Linked DNA regions of Styela clava. The main gene of each other region encodes a partner of the protein of the gene in region 2 in a complex. Links are inferred from orthologs where the notes say so. Each region holds a gene or a part of one and is shown on either strand. Other genes may lie near its edges.

The links.
Region 1: the proteins of mitotic spindle assembly checkpoint protein MAD1-like (region 2) and mitotic spindle assembly checkpoint protein MAD2A-like are in contact, whole or in part, in a crystal structure (PDB 1GO4), measured with the Homo sapiens proteins. The link is inferred for Styela clava from reciprocal best matches to the Homo sapiens genes MAD1L1 and MAD2L1. Residues at the interface, in NP_001013858.1 of Homo sapiens: Glu527, Arg528, Ala530, Leu531, Gln532, Gly533, Asp534, Tyr535, Gln537, Ser538, Arg539, Thr540, Lys541, Val542, Leu543, His544, Met545, Ser546, Leu547, Asn548, Pro549, Thr550, Ala553, Arg554, Leu557; in NP_002349.1 of Homo sapiens: Tyr38, Leu61, Tyr64, Asn67, Val68, Trp75, Gln82, Lys83, Ser89, Ile91, Glu92, Ser93, Gly94, Arg99, Gln101, Ser150, Phe151, Asp152, Leu153, Leu154, Ile155, Tyr156, Thr157, Asp158, Lys159, Asp160, Leu161, Val163, Lys166, Trp167.

Annotation. Positions count from the first base shown.
Region 1 is NC_135260.1:18,873,289-18,882,165, reverse strand, and holds the start of mitotic spindle assembly checkpoint protein MAD2A-like, read left to right. Parts: upstream 1-5,589; 5' UTR 5,590-5,884; coding exon 5,885-5,960; intron 5,961-6,331; coding exon 6,332-6,481; intron 6,482-7,169; coding exon 7,170-7,308; intron 7,309-7,894; coding exon 7,895-7,989; intron 7,990-8,203; coding exon 8,204-8,379; 3' UTR 8,380-8,877. UniProt on the Homo sapiens protein: Component of the spindle-assembly checkpoint that prevents the onset of anaphase until all chromosomes are properly aligned at the metaphase plate.
Region 2 is NC_135263.1:4,101,432-4,109,953, forward strand, and holds the start of mitotic spindle assembly checkpoint protein MAD1-like, read left to right. Parts: upstream 1-5,084; 5' UTR 5,085-5,090; coding exon 5,091-6,960; intron 6,961-7,248; coding exon 7,249-7,487; 3' UTR 7,488-8,522. Other genes in the region: alanyl-tRNA editing protein Aarsd1-like, read left to right, coding at 2,016-3,239. UniProt on the Homo sapiens protein: Component of the spindle-assembly checkpoint that prevents the onset of anaphase until all chromosomes are properly aligned at the metaphase plate.

The DNA.
Region 1 (8,877 bases), on a different chromosome or scaffold from region 2:
GAAATTGCTAGAATGTCTAATTTCATCTTTGCATGCCAATATTTTGCAATTTAATTAAACAATTGCTATTATTATTTGATTCAATATTCACCCAAATAGCAAATAATACTGTCTAGTGTTATATTTTGATATTCCGTCAACATTGAAAATTTCTTCATTATTTTACCATATCTCTTGCATCTGACATAATTAAATTCCACCGAAGCATTTTACTAATAAAACCCAATGACTGATTGTTCTAATCATATTACTTTCAATTTGACATCCACCCAAACCTGATGATACTCTTATTTGCAATTGTGTCATACTACTGATAAGTTCCACAACTCAATCATTTATAGTATTTCGCAACTTTTCATTATACACAATTTTGGTGCCCTATTTATTGTACAAATATTAGCAAAGAAAAGTTATTTTCCTGTTTTATGATGCTTATAAAGACCAAATTTCGAGAAAACATATAACCTAATTGGTAAGGATAGTAAACATATTCAGATTTTTCAGTTCATCGATTCTAACTGCTAGCCTATAGCGGCTCCTTCTAGAAATTACCGTTCAGATGATCGAAAATTTATTAAAAACGTGATATCTTGTATTCTTGAGGATATTTGCGACTGGAAATATTCATTGGGACAAACATCCATTTGTGAATATGTCCGAGTGTACGTGCTTGCAAATGTTCGGAGCCAGTGTCACTGCCTAAATTTTAGTTAAGTCTTTTTCAAAAGCTTCTAAATATATTTTATCAATCATAATTAAACAGGATGGTACCATACAGAGGGTTTGATTGATCAAATCAATACCTCGTCTTACCAACCTGGTTGAATAGTCTTGGCCGTTCCGGTGATTAGAGTGGCCGCGTTTGTCCGGGAAAATCAAAACAGTCTCACTGAACAATCAACAATTCGGTCGTCGGGTTCCAAGCTGTTTCTAAGGTAAGTTAGCATTCGCGTTACATACCGTACCGTACCAGCATACAGACATAGTCTACAACAGGGGTGTCTGTGATAGAATACCGGTACTGTGATAGAATTAATGCTAATATTGAACACTGTAGACAATCCGTATATAATTTCATTGAATATAACATAGGGCAACAACTGAGTGTTATTTTTAAAATACCTGTAAATAATAGTGTATCACATACCTTTTTCCCCAATAGATATTATGGAGCCATTATTACTTTCCTTCGGCAATATAACATTGCTGGAACTGATTTAGAACAAGGGAAACATCGAATAATTTATAATAAAATAGTTGATAATTTGAAGAGGGGTGACAGAATAGTGTTTCTTAGAGATGGTAGTTTGGAAGGAGCTTGTTCAAACATACATTGTAAAATATTGGCTAATAATATGAAAACTTTCAATTATAAACTTATGTGGGACATTCTTTCACTAAAAGTTAAACCAAGGATTAGACATATTACTGGAAATGATTTATGTGTACTTTGTTTTAAAGAACCAGAATTTATATCTCATTTATTTTGGAACTGTGCATTTACACAAAATGTATATGATTATGTTTTTTCTGTTGTATTAAAAATAAACAATTGCGAGTTAAAAAATATTTATAAAACATGTATTTTACTAGAACTAAATAATCAGTGTTTTTCACATTTATCATTAGTCGAACGTAATGCAGTCATACTTCTTCTGTGTACTGCAAGATATAAAATATGGTTAGAACGTAATGCAGTTATTTTTGAAAATGTTAATCCAAGTGTAAATAGTGTCGTAACAAGAATTAGAAAATCCCTTTTAGCAAGGAGAAATATAGAACAACTTAGACATAATCCTAGTTTTATAAAAGAACTAGACATAATTTGTAAGAATCTATGACTAATTGTATAAATTTTTATTTTTCTGCTATAAATTAAAAACATATAAATTAATGTATATTTACTGATAAACATGGGAAACTTTATCTGGAATCAACAATGGAATAATATGAATTGCTGGATAATACTGAATGTTTACGAATATATTTGTTTATTATATGTAACTATGTTCTATGATTATTATTTTTTCATCATTTATTTATTTTTACAAAACTGTTATGAATCCACAACGTGGACCTTTAAAAAAAACAAAACAACAACAACAGGGGTGTCAAATTCGTGTGTATTCGAGGGCCGCATTGTATATTGGGAATTGTGCCAAGGGCCGAAAACAGTTTTTGATAATGTACGGTATACTTTGGGCATTTCTATTTTATGATACATCAATCAATCATACATATTGTGTTGTAATTAAACAGCCAAATAAAATTTTGCTATTTTCTTAAATTTCAAATGGCATTTTCATAATAATTTCTTTCCTTTGCACTATTATTGCAATTTACTTTATTTATTACAAAAAATTATAAATTTTTACATACAACTGTACAACTATCCAAAACATGCATACACAAAAATGACTTGATCTTAATACAGGGTGTTCTCGGGTTATGACGGTCGCGACTTACGATGTTTCGAGGTTACAAACGCGCACTCCATAACGCTGTTTCGAGGTTACGAACGCACTTTACGAACATATACAGATATAAAAGATAATACTGTACTGTAATATCTAAGCCTATAAACTGGATCATTGTGATCAGGAAAATCAGTGCTCTGGGCTCATTGGTTTTCGTTATTTACATCGTACACGACGTGACCAATTGCGAACTATTACGAATATGAACGAATAATCACTAAGCTTCAGTCACATGGTACAGTACTGTACACAGTTCCAGTGATACTGTACGTCATTTTGGTTGTTTAAGTCGTTTTTTTCGTAACTTGTTTGATCGTTTTTTTTTTTACTTTTGCCCTTTGTTATGGACTCAAAGCAAAAAAAAGATGTTAAGATACTGCACTGTTGCACACTTGCAATTCATGCACTGTACCACTGTACAGTATAAGGTTCAGACTTACACTGAAATTTGGGTTACACCGAGTCTCAGAAACAGAACTGCGTCGTAAGTCGAGGACTCCCTGTATATAAACCTAAAATCTACAAAAATACAGAATAAACTTAAACAGCTTACTAATATCAGGCTGAAATGATTTTACAGTAGGCTACCAATTCTTAGTAACGAGGTCACATGACCATCGGTTAATTTGCATCGTTGAGAATGTTTGATTAAATTCAGAAATTACTCCCTTATTTGTAACTTAGCATCACAAGCTTATATAAAGACCGCAAGTTGTGCAGTGCCTGATATATCACACAATTCATCGAATGATAAGAAAAAATATTCAAAGTTAGCAGACGCAAATTTTATTTGTTCTTTTAAATTTGCGGACATCTTATCAATTCTAGTAGCAACTGTATTTCTTGTCAACGATAAATTTTTGAGAAGTTCCAACTGTTTTTACAAGACAGGTTTGCTGCTGATTTAGCTGTGCTTTCAACTGCAACAGTTTCATGTTTCGAAGTTGATATTCAAATTTGTCATATTGACTGCTGGGCTTACTTTGATAATGTCTACTTATATTGTATTTATTCAATGTACTGATAGAAAAGTGACAAATTAAACAGTTGGATTTCGAATTTTGAAAATATTGCAACCCCCCCTTTTTTTAGATAAATGCCACCTTCTTCATGTACTTTGCATTTCTTCTTAATCACTGAACTGTTTTTTTTCAAGTATTCTCTTGCTAGCTTGAGGTGTATCCATAATCAGGTCAAAACGAAACAAAAAAATTTGTAATTTTTCAAAACTACTTTCTGTAATTTGTCGTGTTCTGCGTGGATAATCAATTTCAATTGGGAAGTTTTAAAAAATGTATTACATTTAGATTAAAAACCTTACAAAATATATCAATAATTGTTAAGCGTTCGAGGGCCGCGAGTTCGGCACCCCTGGTCTACACTCTACCTGTCTACAGAGTCACCGCAAAAATGTGTTTCAAATGAACTCGGTTCTGATTTTGGGTCTGGTATAGTTTAGTACCACATGCACTTCTAGTTGGCCTGGCTCAACAATTATTGCATATGTCAATCCTAACCCCCACCTAACTACGTCACCGAAAAATTACGTCATTTCGACGTCGCCCACCAAAGTATGCAGATGGTCGTCCAAAACGCGCAGACGATCACCGAAATCGAGCAAGCTATTTCTCTCGTTTTCTCGCCACAACGATCCCGATAGGAGGAGGTTATAGACGGCGCATATGCCATTTCGGGCAATCTTAATTATACTTTAAAAAGTCCTATGACGTGATGGTGATGTCGTAGTGACGTAATTTTTTGATGGCATAGTCAGGTGGGGGTTAGGAATAACATATGCAAAATTCGTTATGCTACGCCCACTGGAAGTACTTGTGGTACTAAACTATACTAGACCCCTGATTTTTTGGACCACCCTATATTTATGCCAGGGTTCAAAGTCGATGGGTCGGCAGATGCAGAGTTTGAACGGTTCTATCCACTGATCCAAGGTTTGAAGTAAGGGGTTATCCCATTATCCTCGCTTCAAACATTAAAAGAGATAGTGCAGATGTTTGCTGAGAAGAAATAATAAATTATTTCAACCAAATTTAAAAATAGCGGCGTGTTTACCCCCAACCAACTTATTCCAGTATTCAATTACAGCCAAACAAATCCTCGTGATGATCGTGGCAGGAAACAAGCTACCGGTAACAGAGTGGAGATGATTTGCGAAAGTTCAATATCAATTATGTTTTGCGGACCCGCTGCTGGAAGCCTCTTGCCTTTTGTGGTACTGGTCTTTGGAAATAAACGCCTATGGATCCTGGACCACCGACTGACCGATGGCCCTGCTGGGGACAGTATATGATGCAACACCAAGTGGATAGTTTGATACCAGTACATTCATCTGCTGGTTTGAAGAAGTTATCGAACCAGTCTGTGTTAAACTTGGTGTCGAAAAAATGCTCGTAGGGGACAATTTATTTTCCCACTAAACCACGGAATGAAGGTCGTGAGTTGGGTCTCGTGTAGTTTCGACTTCAAGTACTTCTTGTGGGGGTAGCATAACGATATTTGCACATCAATCCTATTCCTAACCCCACCTAACTAGGCCATCCAAAAATTGCGTCGCAATCACGTCATGGAGCTTGCCAAAATATACCTACGATCACCTGAAATAGCATCTGCGTTGACGATAATAAACTCACTAACGGCAGGGATCTCTCTCATATTGGGATCATTGCGATGAGAAAACGAAAGAAATAGCTTGTTCAATTTCGGGTGATTGCCTGCGCGTCTTGGATGACAGTTCGTATAGTTTGAAGGGCCTCATCACGTCGTGGTGACGTAATTTTTGGATGACTCAGTCATGTGGGGGTTAGTATGCTATGCCAACCAGAAGTACCTGAGGTACGAAACTACACTAGACCCCATTGACTTAGCAGACCAACATAATGTGTATTTCGCATGCCTGCCAGAAGTCATTGGACAGCAATCATATATACTCCAGCCTCTCGACTGCTCATTTTTTCCCTTCTAAAAGCAAAATAGAGAAAAATACTAGCCTAATGGATGTCATAAACACGAATTTGTGGTTGTCCGGAGAAACATTTCCCACTTTCACTGCACCAGCGTTTTTTTAAATCCTTGTTAACAGCTGCACAAAATCTTGAATCGGGATGTCAAGTTTGTGAGATTCACCCATCTAACCCCTCTGCTGTGTTGCGTAAGCCATGAACAACTGACCAGCGATTACGATATGTCTTACTCCTCTTGCACAGGGGTGCATGGTAAGCATACCATGCCATATATGTAACGTAATATCGCTAAGTTAACGATTAGCACAGTAGCATGATGCTCCACATCCAGGCATCGCCGTCTGTGTCCTTTCCGAAGTGGTTTTTAATATGTTTCTGTTTCCAGTTATTGGTCTATATATGTGTAGAATCTGATACTTTGAATTAAACATGCCTCCAACTCAACAGGCTTCACTGAATAAAATAACGCTAAAAGGATCAGCAGCAATTGTTTCCGAATTTTTCTGTGAGTTTTTCATGCTAATTGATTCATGCTGTTATTACTATATCCTAGCGACCTAGATAAATGGTTAGACACAGCATTTTCAGTTTATGATATGCTAGACTTGACTTTCAGGCTCGAGGTCAGCACCATGCTGTAGTGCATGAAGCACAGTACAAGCTTGTATTTGATTGGATTTTATAGAATGTACAGTAGTCTTTTTTTTTTCAGTACATGGTGCCATGATGTTTACAGATTTACAATAGCAGATTAAAAGCGATCAAGCTTGGTTTTTGATATAGCCTATTGGTTATTATCATGGTACCCCTTCGAATAATGATTTGGCTCTCTGAATTTTCTACCGTATTGCATGCTCTATTTTGATTATAATTCAGACTATGGAATCAACAGCATTTTATATCAACGTGGAATATATCCAGCGGAAATGTTTACCAGAGAGAAAAAATATGGACTGACCATACTTGTTTGCACAGATGACAAGATTAAAGAATATTTGGAGGAAAATGTTTGTCCACAATTAACCGGTGATCTCCAAATTCAATTTTGAAATCAACTTCTGATTCATTTTTCATGTTCGCTAACTATTATAATCAGTTTTGTGATCTAATAAGGAAATTTTTATTACTTACATCATCTGATATCTTTAGACTTTAATAGAAGACAATAATTGGCTAGTCACGTTTGATAGTCGTGTCTTATGGAAATTAACCTTCCTTTTAGTGCCATACTTTTGCAACATAAATAATAGCATTTCAAATCCTAGGTGAGAAAATTGGAATCTGAGAATTGTGATAGTATTTATTTTGTTACCATTGTCATGTAAATTTCTTCAATTGTTGTCCAATTTCATCTCAATGATCTTTCAAAATATTATGCTAGGTAGCCTATATGTAACAAATTTCTTGTTTCCTGTTCTCAAAAGTTGTTTCATTGTTACTCAAAGCCAAGCTATGCTCGATATATGCCTGGGGCCATAGCCCATAAGTGACAATATACTCTGGTATTTAATTTTGTTCTTTAACAAAATCTCTTTGAAATGTAGTTTGAATTACCTTATGAAACTTTTCGTGTTATAGTTATTTGAGAATCCTAAAATTACTGAGATGATCTGATGGAAATCTGGGAAAAAGAATGCTATTCTGGCGAACCCCATGTCATATATTGCTTGGGATTTGACATATGATAACTTATATGATAATATTTTATGCACAGAATGGTTAGAACAAGGTGTTGTCAACAGGCTTGTTGTCGTTATAAAAGATGTTGACACAAAGGAACCACTTGAAAGATGGCAGTTTGAAATAGATTGTGACAAGACAGTAACTTCTAAAGATGGAGAAAAGAATCACAAGTAGGTCATATATTGATTTTATTTATACTTATGGCCCTATTGCTTCAAAAAGATGTAGACCCCATTTCAATGCTTCAAGCCCTTTCATCTTTCAAGACTCTGACTTTCAACCATTTTTATTCCAAATCAGATAAAAAAATCATGGAAACATTCAAATCATCCAACAGACATTTTTGTGTACATTCCATAGAGATGAAATATCATAAAATGAATGCATTTTCAATGTCCCGCTCCCAACAACATTGTTTCAGAGTCGTTACAAGCATTTTCAATGTCCCGCTCCCAACAACATTGTTTCAGAGTCGTTACAAAATTTTACAAATGTAGGATTTGCCATTTTAAATTCTGTTCATCAATTAGATGTGTTTGCAGGATAATATTCATATGCCGGTGAGCCAGTGTTTAAAATACAGTGATTCAGTATGTTTTCACTTTTGTTGAAATTCAGTGAACTCATAGTAGTTGGAAAATTCAAGCATTTAAAAATGTTATTTTGAGATTTATATCAAAACAGCAGTATTATATAGTCATAGATACCATCAGGTTTCAATTTTCAAATATCAATTTATTCATTGCATTGATTTAGAACCAAGGAAATTGCAGAGATTCATAAAGAAATATGTGCTGTAATCAGACAAATAACAGCTACGGTTACATTCTTGCCTCTCTTGGAAACTGTCTGTAAGTTTGGTTTGATTATCTCTTCAATATTCACATCAACATAATTGGGCTCAACATACTAACCTTGGAAACCAGTGGTTCCCACATTTTTGATACATCCTTCCTTTGCCTCTTTTTAAATTCTTCATTAGTCACTGGCTAGTGATAGACGCATTACCAGTAATAATACTACATGCAATTGCTAGATAAAATCTTAAATTGCAATACAAAACAGGTTCTTTCGATGTTCTGTTTTACACAAGTCATGATGCTGAAAATATATCACCAAAGTTGGAGGAAAGCAGTGCTTTCTTGATCACCGACTCTCAAGAAGTGAAACTGAGATCATTCAACACTACAGTTCATAAAGTTGAGGGGGCTGTGTCATACAAGTTTAATACCATCCGATGAAAATGCTAACACCAATTTTTTAAAAAACAGTGAAGAAACTATTGCTGCGCTCAACCTCCTACTGAAATTATGGAACAATTTTGTCCATTTCCCATTTGGTGTGACCAGTTGCGCGGCCAGGGGGTTCCGACAGGGGTACAGATTAAGAACGCTTTCATGGACATCGTAAATCGCAAAATTTATTGTACCTACGCTACCGCACACATTATAATTGAATGAATAGCCATGCCGTTGTCACGTAAATCGAAACAGTCAATAGTGCGCTCGATGTACCAATATTATCAATTCCACTACCGACGGTCCCCTACACGGTTTTTTTCTGAAATATGATAATATACAAGATAATTATTGTAATGTATATTCATTATTCAATCAATATTGTGCTAAATTAACTTTACTCCGTGGAATTTTATCGGTGATACAGGGATTGATCAAATTTGCAAAAATACGAAGCAGAACAAGATATAATCGGGCAATGTACCCCACATTTTTATCCGG
Region 2 (8,522 bases):
GAAAATAGGAATCAAAAACTATTTATAATCGGGTAGTTTACCACAAATTCTAAGTCCACAGATTGCCGTTGTATTTTGTAAATACGAAAATAGGAATCAAAAATTAATATTAATCGCGAGTTTGCCACACAATTTATGTCCACAGATTGCCGTGATATTGTGCCGAATATATTTAGTTTTTGATTCTTATTTTCGTACTCACGAAAAATTGTCACAAGTCAGAAAAAGAATTTATACTTTATCCCGCTCTTGGGAACTAATTTGGATAATGGTTGCCATTGGTTTGTATTTAAAAGTATGGACTTTTTACTAGGATGATTTTGTGCTGCGCAAAATATTCGAATCCATGACCGATACCACTATTTAAAATGCCTTACCATGTTAATTTAATTCTATTATCATAACTCAAATGTTGGCAAATCGGGCAGTTTACCACACATTTCAAGGTCACAGATCGCCGTTGCATTTTAGAATTATAATAGTTTTATTATTTTGTAAATACGAATCCGAAATTAATTATAATTGGACAGTTTACCACGTATTTCATGTCCACAAATACCCGTGGTATTTGGTATCAATACTTTCATTATTTTATCAATATAAAAATAGGAATCAATATTTAATAAAATCGGTCAGTTTACCACACATTTTATGTCCACAGATTGTCGATACAACCATGAGTTACGTTGAACAGAATTAAATTAAGACGGCATGACATTTTAAAAGCTGGTACCAGTCATGGATTGCATTATTTTGCGCAACAAAAAATCATCCTAGTAAAGGATCGATACTTTTAACCATCGTTATCAGAATTATTTGCCAGAAATTATTTTCTAATAAATCGACTTGTTTTTCCAACTTGTGACAATTTATTGAACATCGTAACAATGACGGCTATGAATACCGTATTTCCCGGCTAATAAGTCCACATGGCAAATAGGACGATGTCTATTTTTAGCACTCAAAAAGGGGTTTTTCCATATAGGCCTCCAATAAGACGGGTAGAAAAATTGTGTCCCTGTTGTTCAGTTATGCTGATATGCGCTAATAATTTTATATGTTTAGGACAAGATCATGTTAGTTTGGTAGAATCATACTCACAGAATTAACTATTTTTAACAATTGAGCGGTAAATTTAAGTTGTAAATCGGTAACCATTTTGGACAACCTATTAACCCAAACATTGAAATAATTTTGAAATGTGATAAGTAATACACTGTACGTCCACGGGTTATTGTACAGCTGTGTTTTCCTGTCCCTGTCGTGTTTTGCTGAATCCGCAAAACGAAAGGGTCGCAAATCACTTTATCTCGGTGACCAGGTTTCTCTTTGAGGTAACGATAACCGGCCTGCGATAAAATATCATGATTGGCAGACCCTAAGACCCGAATATAAGGTTACACAAATCATGCTTGAGAAGACTCATGCAAATAATAAGCAGGCCACATAGAAATAAAATAATTTCGACGTCAATTTTTCGACGTAATGGAAATGAATTTGTAAATTAAAAGCCTCGTAGACGAATGTCGGCAATGTCCACCCACGCAAACTTGCAAATACCGTCGCAACACTATGCGACGTACGGTCGGTCGGTCGCACAGAATATAAACAATCAAAGTGCCGATTCTATTTCATCGTCATTACAATACGTGAGACAGCGTAAAAAGTCATTTGAAGATTCCCGTAAAACGAAACACCACGTTTACGGCGAAGAGTGGCTACTATTCGGAATTATTCGAAAATCAGCCGAAAAGGTATTCGAATACTTTGATATTCGAATACATTCGAATATTCGATTCGTTTTGGACAACCCTGCTACTACGTACCTACTGCAGTATGCAAGACCACCGCAGGTCATTGAGGCTCTTGATCATTTTGTTCACACTGTGATCAAACTTCAGGTTGGATTGTGAGCGGTTTTGCATGTAACTTATTTCTGTATATTTAATTTAAAATGTACTCTTAACAGCATTTGCTTGGCGATTTTTGTGTAATTTATTAAAACTATTTTAATCATGCCGTTCATGTGCCAAAATGATAGTTACTCAACGCTGCACACTGCTGTTGTTCAGACAGTCACTCCTGCAAAATGCAAAGTGTCAATATCTGGTGGAAAAGAACAAATGACTGAAGGTTATGAAGTCATTTTAGACGACACTATTTTATTTCCTGAAGGAGGGGGCCAACCTGATGATAGGGGAACTATAGATGAAGTTCCAGTTCTTAGGGTGACGAGAAGAGGGGGTGATGCTGTTCATTTTGTTCCGTCTAAACTTGAAGAAGGCCAGGAAGTAAAATTAAAAGTTGATTGGGAACGTAGATTCGATCACATGCAGCAACATACTGGTCAACATTTGATTACCGCGATCGTTGATAAAAAATTTGGACATCAAACAACTTCATGGGATTTAGGAAGGAACGTATCATTTATTGAACTGGATACTTTGAGTTTAACGATAGCTCAAATGCAAGAGGTTGAAGACGAGTGCAATCAGAAAATCAGAGATTCTACTCCAGTTACTGTTCATGTAACAGAAGTTGGATCGACTTTGCTTGAAAATGTTCGAGCTCGAGGTCTCCCGGAAGATCATGTCGGATCTGTTAGAATTATCGATATAAATGGAGTCGATGCCAATATGTGTTGCGGGACTCATGTGAAAAATCTCTCAGATTTGCAGTGTGTAAAACTCCTTAGTGTGGAGAAAGGCAAAAAAGGTAAATGCAATCTTTATTTTCTCGTCGGGAATCGTGTACTCGATTTTGTTGCTAAAAAATATGCAGACGAAAAATCTTTAACAAAAATATTAAAATGTGGACCGATTGAACATGTCGAGGCCGTCGAAAGAAGTGTAAAGCAATTAAAACAAACTCAAAAAGAAGCCAAAAATCTTCTCCGAGAAGTCGCTTCATTTGAAGCAAAATCTTTCAAGTTATCTGTATCAGAAAACAGATACTTGCGTCTTCATCGCAAAGAAGGAAATAATGAATATATGAACATCGTTGCAAATGAACTAAAAGGGATTGAATGTTACTTATTTCTCACAGTTGGTGATGAGAAAGGGGAAGGCTTATTCTTACTTTCAGGCCCAGATAAATTTTTAGAAGAGTGTGGCAAAAATATTAGCGATGCAATTCAAGGAAAAGGTGCAATGAATGCTGGCAAAATACAGGGAAAGGCGCTCAATATGAAAGGATGCAAGCAAGCTGAAGAATTGATTAGAACATTCATGTCAAAATAATTTTTTTTTTATTCATTCTCTGCTTTGTACACAGTGTCCTTCTATAAGCTTGTTTTGGAGAACTCGCATACGGAATACAATATTTTCATACTTGATTAATCCTTACCAACCAACGTACGTACCAACGACAAAACTCGCTAGATCGCGGCGGGTACTTTAAGTTAAGTCGCAAACTGTTGGTCTAGTTTTTACTGGGTTTTAGTTTATTGAAAAGAAGTCTTCTTCGAGATTATTAACATAAGCGACGTTAAGTTTAAATAAACTTTCCAACGAGCCGTCAGTGGGCAGCAGAGGATCATTAGTTATTCGTTAGTCGATCGATTAGTTGTGGGGGTACAAATGCATAAAATCGGCGTAGCAAATACGATTATTTAATAATAAATAAAAACACATGGAAAGGGTTGATTACCGCATTTTACCCAGTCATTCATATTACTTTCTCCCTCACCAAACAAGGTACATAAAAATTCCTAGCCTCGTTATAATGTATGTATTAGCCATATGACACCAAGTAGTACATCTCAATGAACCATTTTTCATCTTTGTTATTCGGACACAGATTTGTAATAACAGTATTGCTATTTCAAAAACTCTGTGTTTGGAATTTGAATAATCACACTTAGTAATCATGCACTGTTATTTTTTCTGAGGATATGCCATTCTTGCATTGAAAACTAGAAGAAAAAGTTATGATTTGTTATATTTGGTGGTTCATCTTACTTTCAGGAGTTCTTTTCTGTAACGTTCCGTCTGCAAAGTCCCCAGACCACTTTACAATTATAAGCCATGTTTGAGGTTTTTGAGTCATTAATTTCAACATATCATCCTTTTTTTGAATCCTGATCTTTTTTAGCGGTATTCAGAACTATAAAATACAAAGTACTTTGAAAAAGCAAATAACTTGACAGAACTTATTACATTGCATTTCCCCAAGCCTGGAAGGAACGCATTTTTGTTAGATTAGCCATTTATTACTTAAGACACTCACCCTTGAGTGATACATACCATATATGCACATACTCCTATAAACTTGACTATTTCTCCCATTTATAGTATGTGGTATCTTTTCTCGAGGGTGCTACATGTCCAAATTTTATTCTTATGTATATATATTATGTATTATATTTCATGTTGTATTGTCTCAATTTATTGATGTTGTCTTGTCCTACCAACTCCTTTGTACAAACAGTTGGGCATACTCCACCATTACCCATGTTGCCTAATCCACCCTCCTCGCACAACTGTCTGTATGAAGGACCATATTATACTTATTCGATTTATTGCATTTTATGCTTATCATAAGGGGTGTATGCCGCGCGTTCATGTGTTTTAGGCCAGTATGGTCTTGTGTATACATCCCGTCTTCAATGTTGATATTTACTAACTCCTGTGTTTTTGCTTTTACGAGACGAATAAACATACATACATACATACCGGTAGGTGGTATTACCTTCGGACATATTCATGCAGAATATTTATGATAAGATCTTAAAACAGAATACTGAATTATTAGATATAAATAAAGGAGTCTGTAAAATACCGTTTCCCACTTTTACGGTGCTCGTTGGAGGTGATATTTTCGAGACACTGAAAATACTGCTACCAACCTACTTGAGAGTTATTAGATATAACTTTGTGGTTGGAATATATTTTGGGAAAATTTATATGGTGCATTCATTTAATTTTAATCTTCCTATTTATAGTACTTGAATTATATTTCATTTGATTCTTATAGTTCAAACAATATCTTAATCAAAATTCATCATGACTTATATTTAAATGTATTTCATGTGCATATTTCTACAGAAATATCTTTTTGTCCAAATTACAAAATAAAATATTTTGAGCGCAATGGACGAACCAATAACTCCTGACAATACAAGAGTTGTCAGAATAATGGATGATTTCCACCAGTTCGTAAGATCAGCAGATCAACAACGTAGAGGAATTCCTTTTAATATGATTACTGAGGGGGAGACACATTCACACGGAAAACGATCATTTTCATCATCTTCTGAGGCTTTAAATCGAGCGAAATTTGCGGAAATGGAGAGTCGTCATGTCTCGGATGAACGAGCACATAAAATTGCCCGACTCGATCTCGAAAGTCGCAATGAAAAGCTGATTTCTGAAAACAGACTTTTAAAAGAAAAATGCGATGGGTTGCAACTCAAAGTCAAGCAAGTTACAATGCAAGCGATTACCGCACAAGACAAGTTTCAAGAATTACGGAATTCGCGCATGAGAGATAAAGAAAGTCTGGAAGAAATGCTTCTAGAATTGCAAAAAGATAAGGAAGCTTCGGAACGAGATTTACAACTAAACGTTGACCATTTACGGAATTCTAACGATGAGCTAAAACAGCGTAACACTCATTTATCCATGCAGAATAATGCTTTGCGAGAAAAATTAGAAGAAACTGCTGCTCTGTTGAACCATAAAACAAGCAGGGTTCAAAAATTGACTGAAGATTTAAAAGAATCTGGGAACAATGAACCGAAGTTACGAGAATATCAACTGAAAATACAGGATCTCGAGTTGAGACTCTCACGATCCAGTGAAGCGGAACAAATGGCGAAAATATTGAAAGACGATCTTGAACGCTTAAGAATACTTGAAATTGAAGTCGTTAAATTAAGAGGAAGGAATGAAATTTATAAAGAAAACGAGACAAATGTACTTCTCATGAAAGAAAAATTATTATCTGCTGAAACAAAACTATCTCACAATGAAAAACTCATCGAAAAAGCAGCTCTAACTGAGCTCGAAAATAAAGATCTAATTGCACAATTAAATGAAGCAAAAAAGAAAGAAATTTTACCTGTAACGGATTTACTTGCTGAGGTGAAGAAATTGCAACAAAAAGAAGCTGTGGCAGCATGCGATAAAGGACAAATACATGCAGAATTGCTAACATGTCGAATAAAATGTGAAGGAATGCAGAACAATATTTCAAATCTAGAAAAAACTATCGAGGAAAAAAATGAAGCGAATCGCACAAAAGATACACAAATAAGACTTCTTCAGAAACGAGCGTTGCTTCTCACTGGTGAGCGAAACAGCTTACGTTCAATTTTACAATCGTATGATTCTGAGTTATCAACAACCGCACACACCGATCAACTTATTTTACGAGCACAAAATGCTGAGACTGCGAATCAAAAAGTTCACACTCGACTTGTTGATGTGGAAAAAGAAGCACTGAACAACGCTACACTTGCTTCTCATTTAAAAGTTACGATAAAAGAAATGGAGAACAATATAAAGCAATTAGAACGGAAATTAGAAGAAGGCAGTGGTTCAAAAGCAGGTGAAAAAGAAATGGAAAATTTGCGTCAAAAAGTCGAAGATTTAGAGAAAGAGCGTTCTCGTTTACAAAAAGAAAAAGAACATTTAGAATTATGGGCAGAACAAAATAAAATGCGAGGGGATTATGATCCATCAAAAGTGAAAGTATTCCATCTTAAGATGAATCCAGCTGATATGGCACATAAACAGAGTGCATTAGAAGTTTCAAAATTGAGAGCAAAATGTCTAAAACTTGAAGAGAAGATTCACAAACTGGAGTCGAATCAGGACGTAACAACGACGAATATTGATGTGACGCAAGGAAAAGATTTTCAAGAAAAGTTGGCGGCTTCTGAATTGAAGAATCAAAGACTGAAAGAAGTTTTTAGTAAAAGAATTTTTGAATTTCGACAAGCTTGCTATACATTGACTGGTAAGTTTATTCTTGTCTTTTAATCTTCTGTGAGGCAATGAGTCCTGCAGACAGACCCGACTTTTAGTTAGGGTCTGCCTGAGTGTTTGGAGCATTTTATCTTACTATGTTGGTGTCGCTAGTTGAAGGTGCTTTGCGATTCGTAAGCATCGACGAATTTAGTCTCTGTAATTTTTGATGGAATGCGTTGATATTCTGCGACACAATCAATAAATCTTGCGACACATTAGTGCTCAGCGGTCCCCACATATTTCAAAATGAATGTCTTATGCAATATTCTTTTTTTAGGCTTCAGAATTGATTCTACTGCTGACAATCAGTACAAGTTGGTATCAATGTACGCAGAAAATGAAGAAGATCATCTCTTGTTCAAGTCTGATTCTTCGGGGGTGATGCATCTCTTGGAAACAAACTTTTCAACATCATTGGACAATTTAATCAAGCTACATTTACACCATCAGAATAGCATTCCTATGTTTCTGAGTAGTATTACTGCAGACTTATTCAGCCAACAGACTATGGTCTAATAATCATATTACGGAAAAATGTATTTGGTATTTTATGAGTCTGCTTAATTTATATTATGAAAGAACCTTCTATCAACAACATTTTAGACAAGATTTGTCATGTGCGTGAAAGCCTAGCACAGAGGTTTTTAAACTTTAACGATCTGTGACCTTAAACTTATTAAACACTGCAGCTTGAAAACTTGGGTCCCTGCTCTTCTATAACAATATCTGGCTGTGCTTTTATGTGTTTCCAACAAACTCAATCTAACAAACAAAAGTCAAAGAACAAATGCATCAATCGAAGTCATTTTACTTAAAATGAATGTAGTCATTTTGAATGGTACCAACTTAAAGTGAATGCCTTTGCTTGTTGCCCTCAAAGAACCACTCAAGGGCCCATTTTGAGAAATCCTGGCCAGTGTTTGGAGTGTTGTATTGCAGATTCAAACCCAAGACCACCAACTCATCTGGAATACAATAAATGTGTGCGCAATGTCAAACCAGGAACATTCCAGTCCAGTCTAGAAAATAGCATCACCTTGCACATGAGTGGCGGTACTCCTGTAGTCTGTGTTTGCAGTAGGCAATAATTTTATTCCGATTTTTTTAATTTTAGTTCTATTACGAGGTTAGAGACTGTCTGTGTTAGCCAAGTGAATATACCCTCTGCGTGTTGGCTTTCTTCTCTTTACACAACTAGATGTAAAGTAGGCGAAATAAATGCTTGCACCAATAATTGTTAGAACATGAAAATGCCGTAAAAAATTCAATGTTAACAAATTAAACATGAAGGGTATATTCTTTATTTATTACTTACCGATTTTAATCGGTATGTATGTTGATAAGTATTTGTCTGTCTGTCAGATGCACGCGATATCTCACAAAAGCGAGATTGGATCTGCTGCAGATTTTGCATGTGCATTTAACCAGACTCCAAATTTTTTGCCTATTCCATGAATTAATCTGGCTCCTGGTTGGCAAAAACTTTGATTCCAGGTCCATTATTATCCCCTCTGAAACCATCAGCATTCCCAGGTTCTTTATGTGCACCGA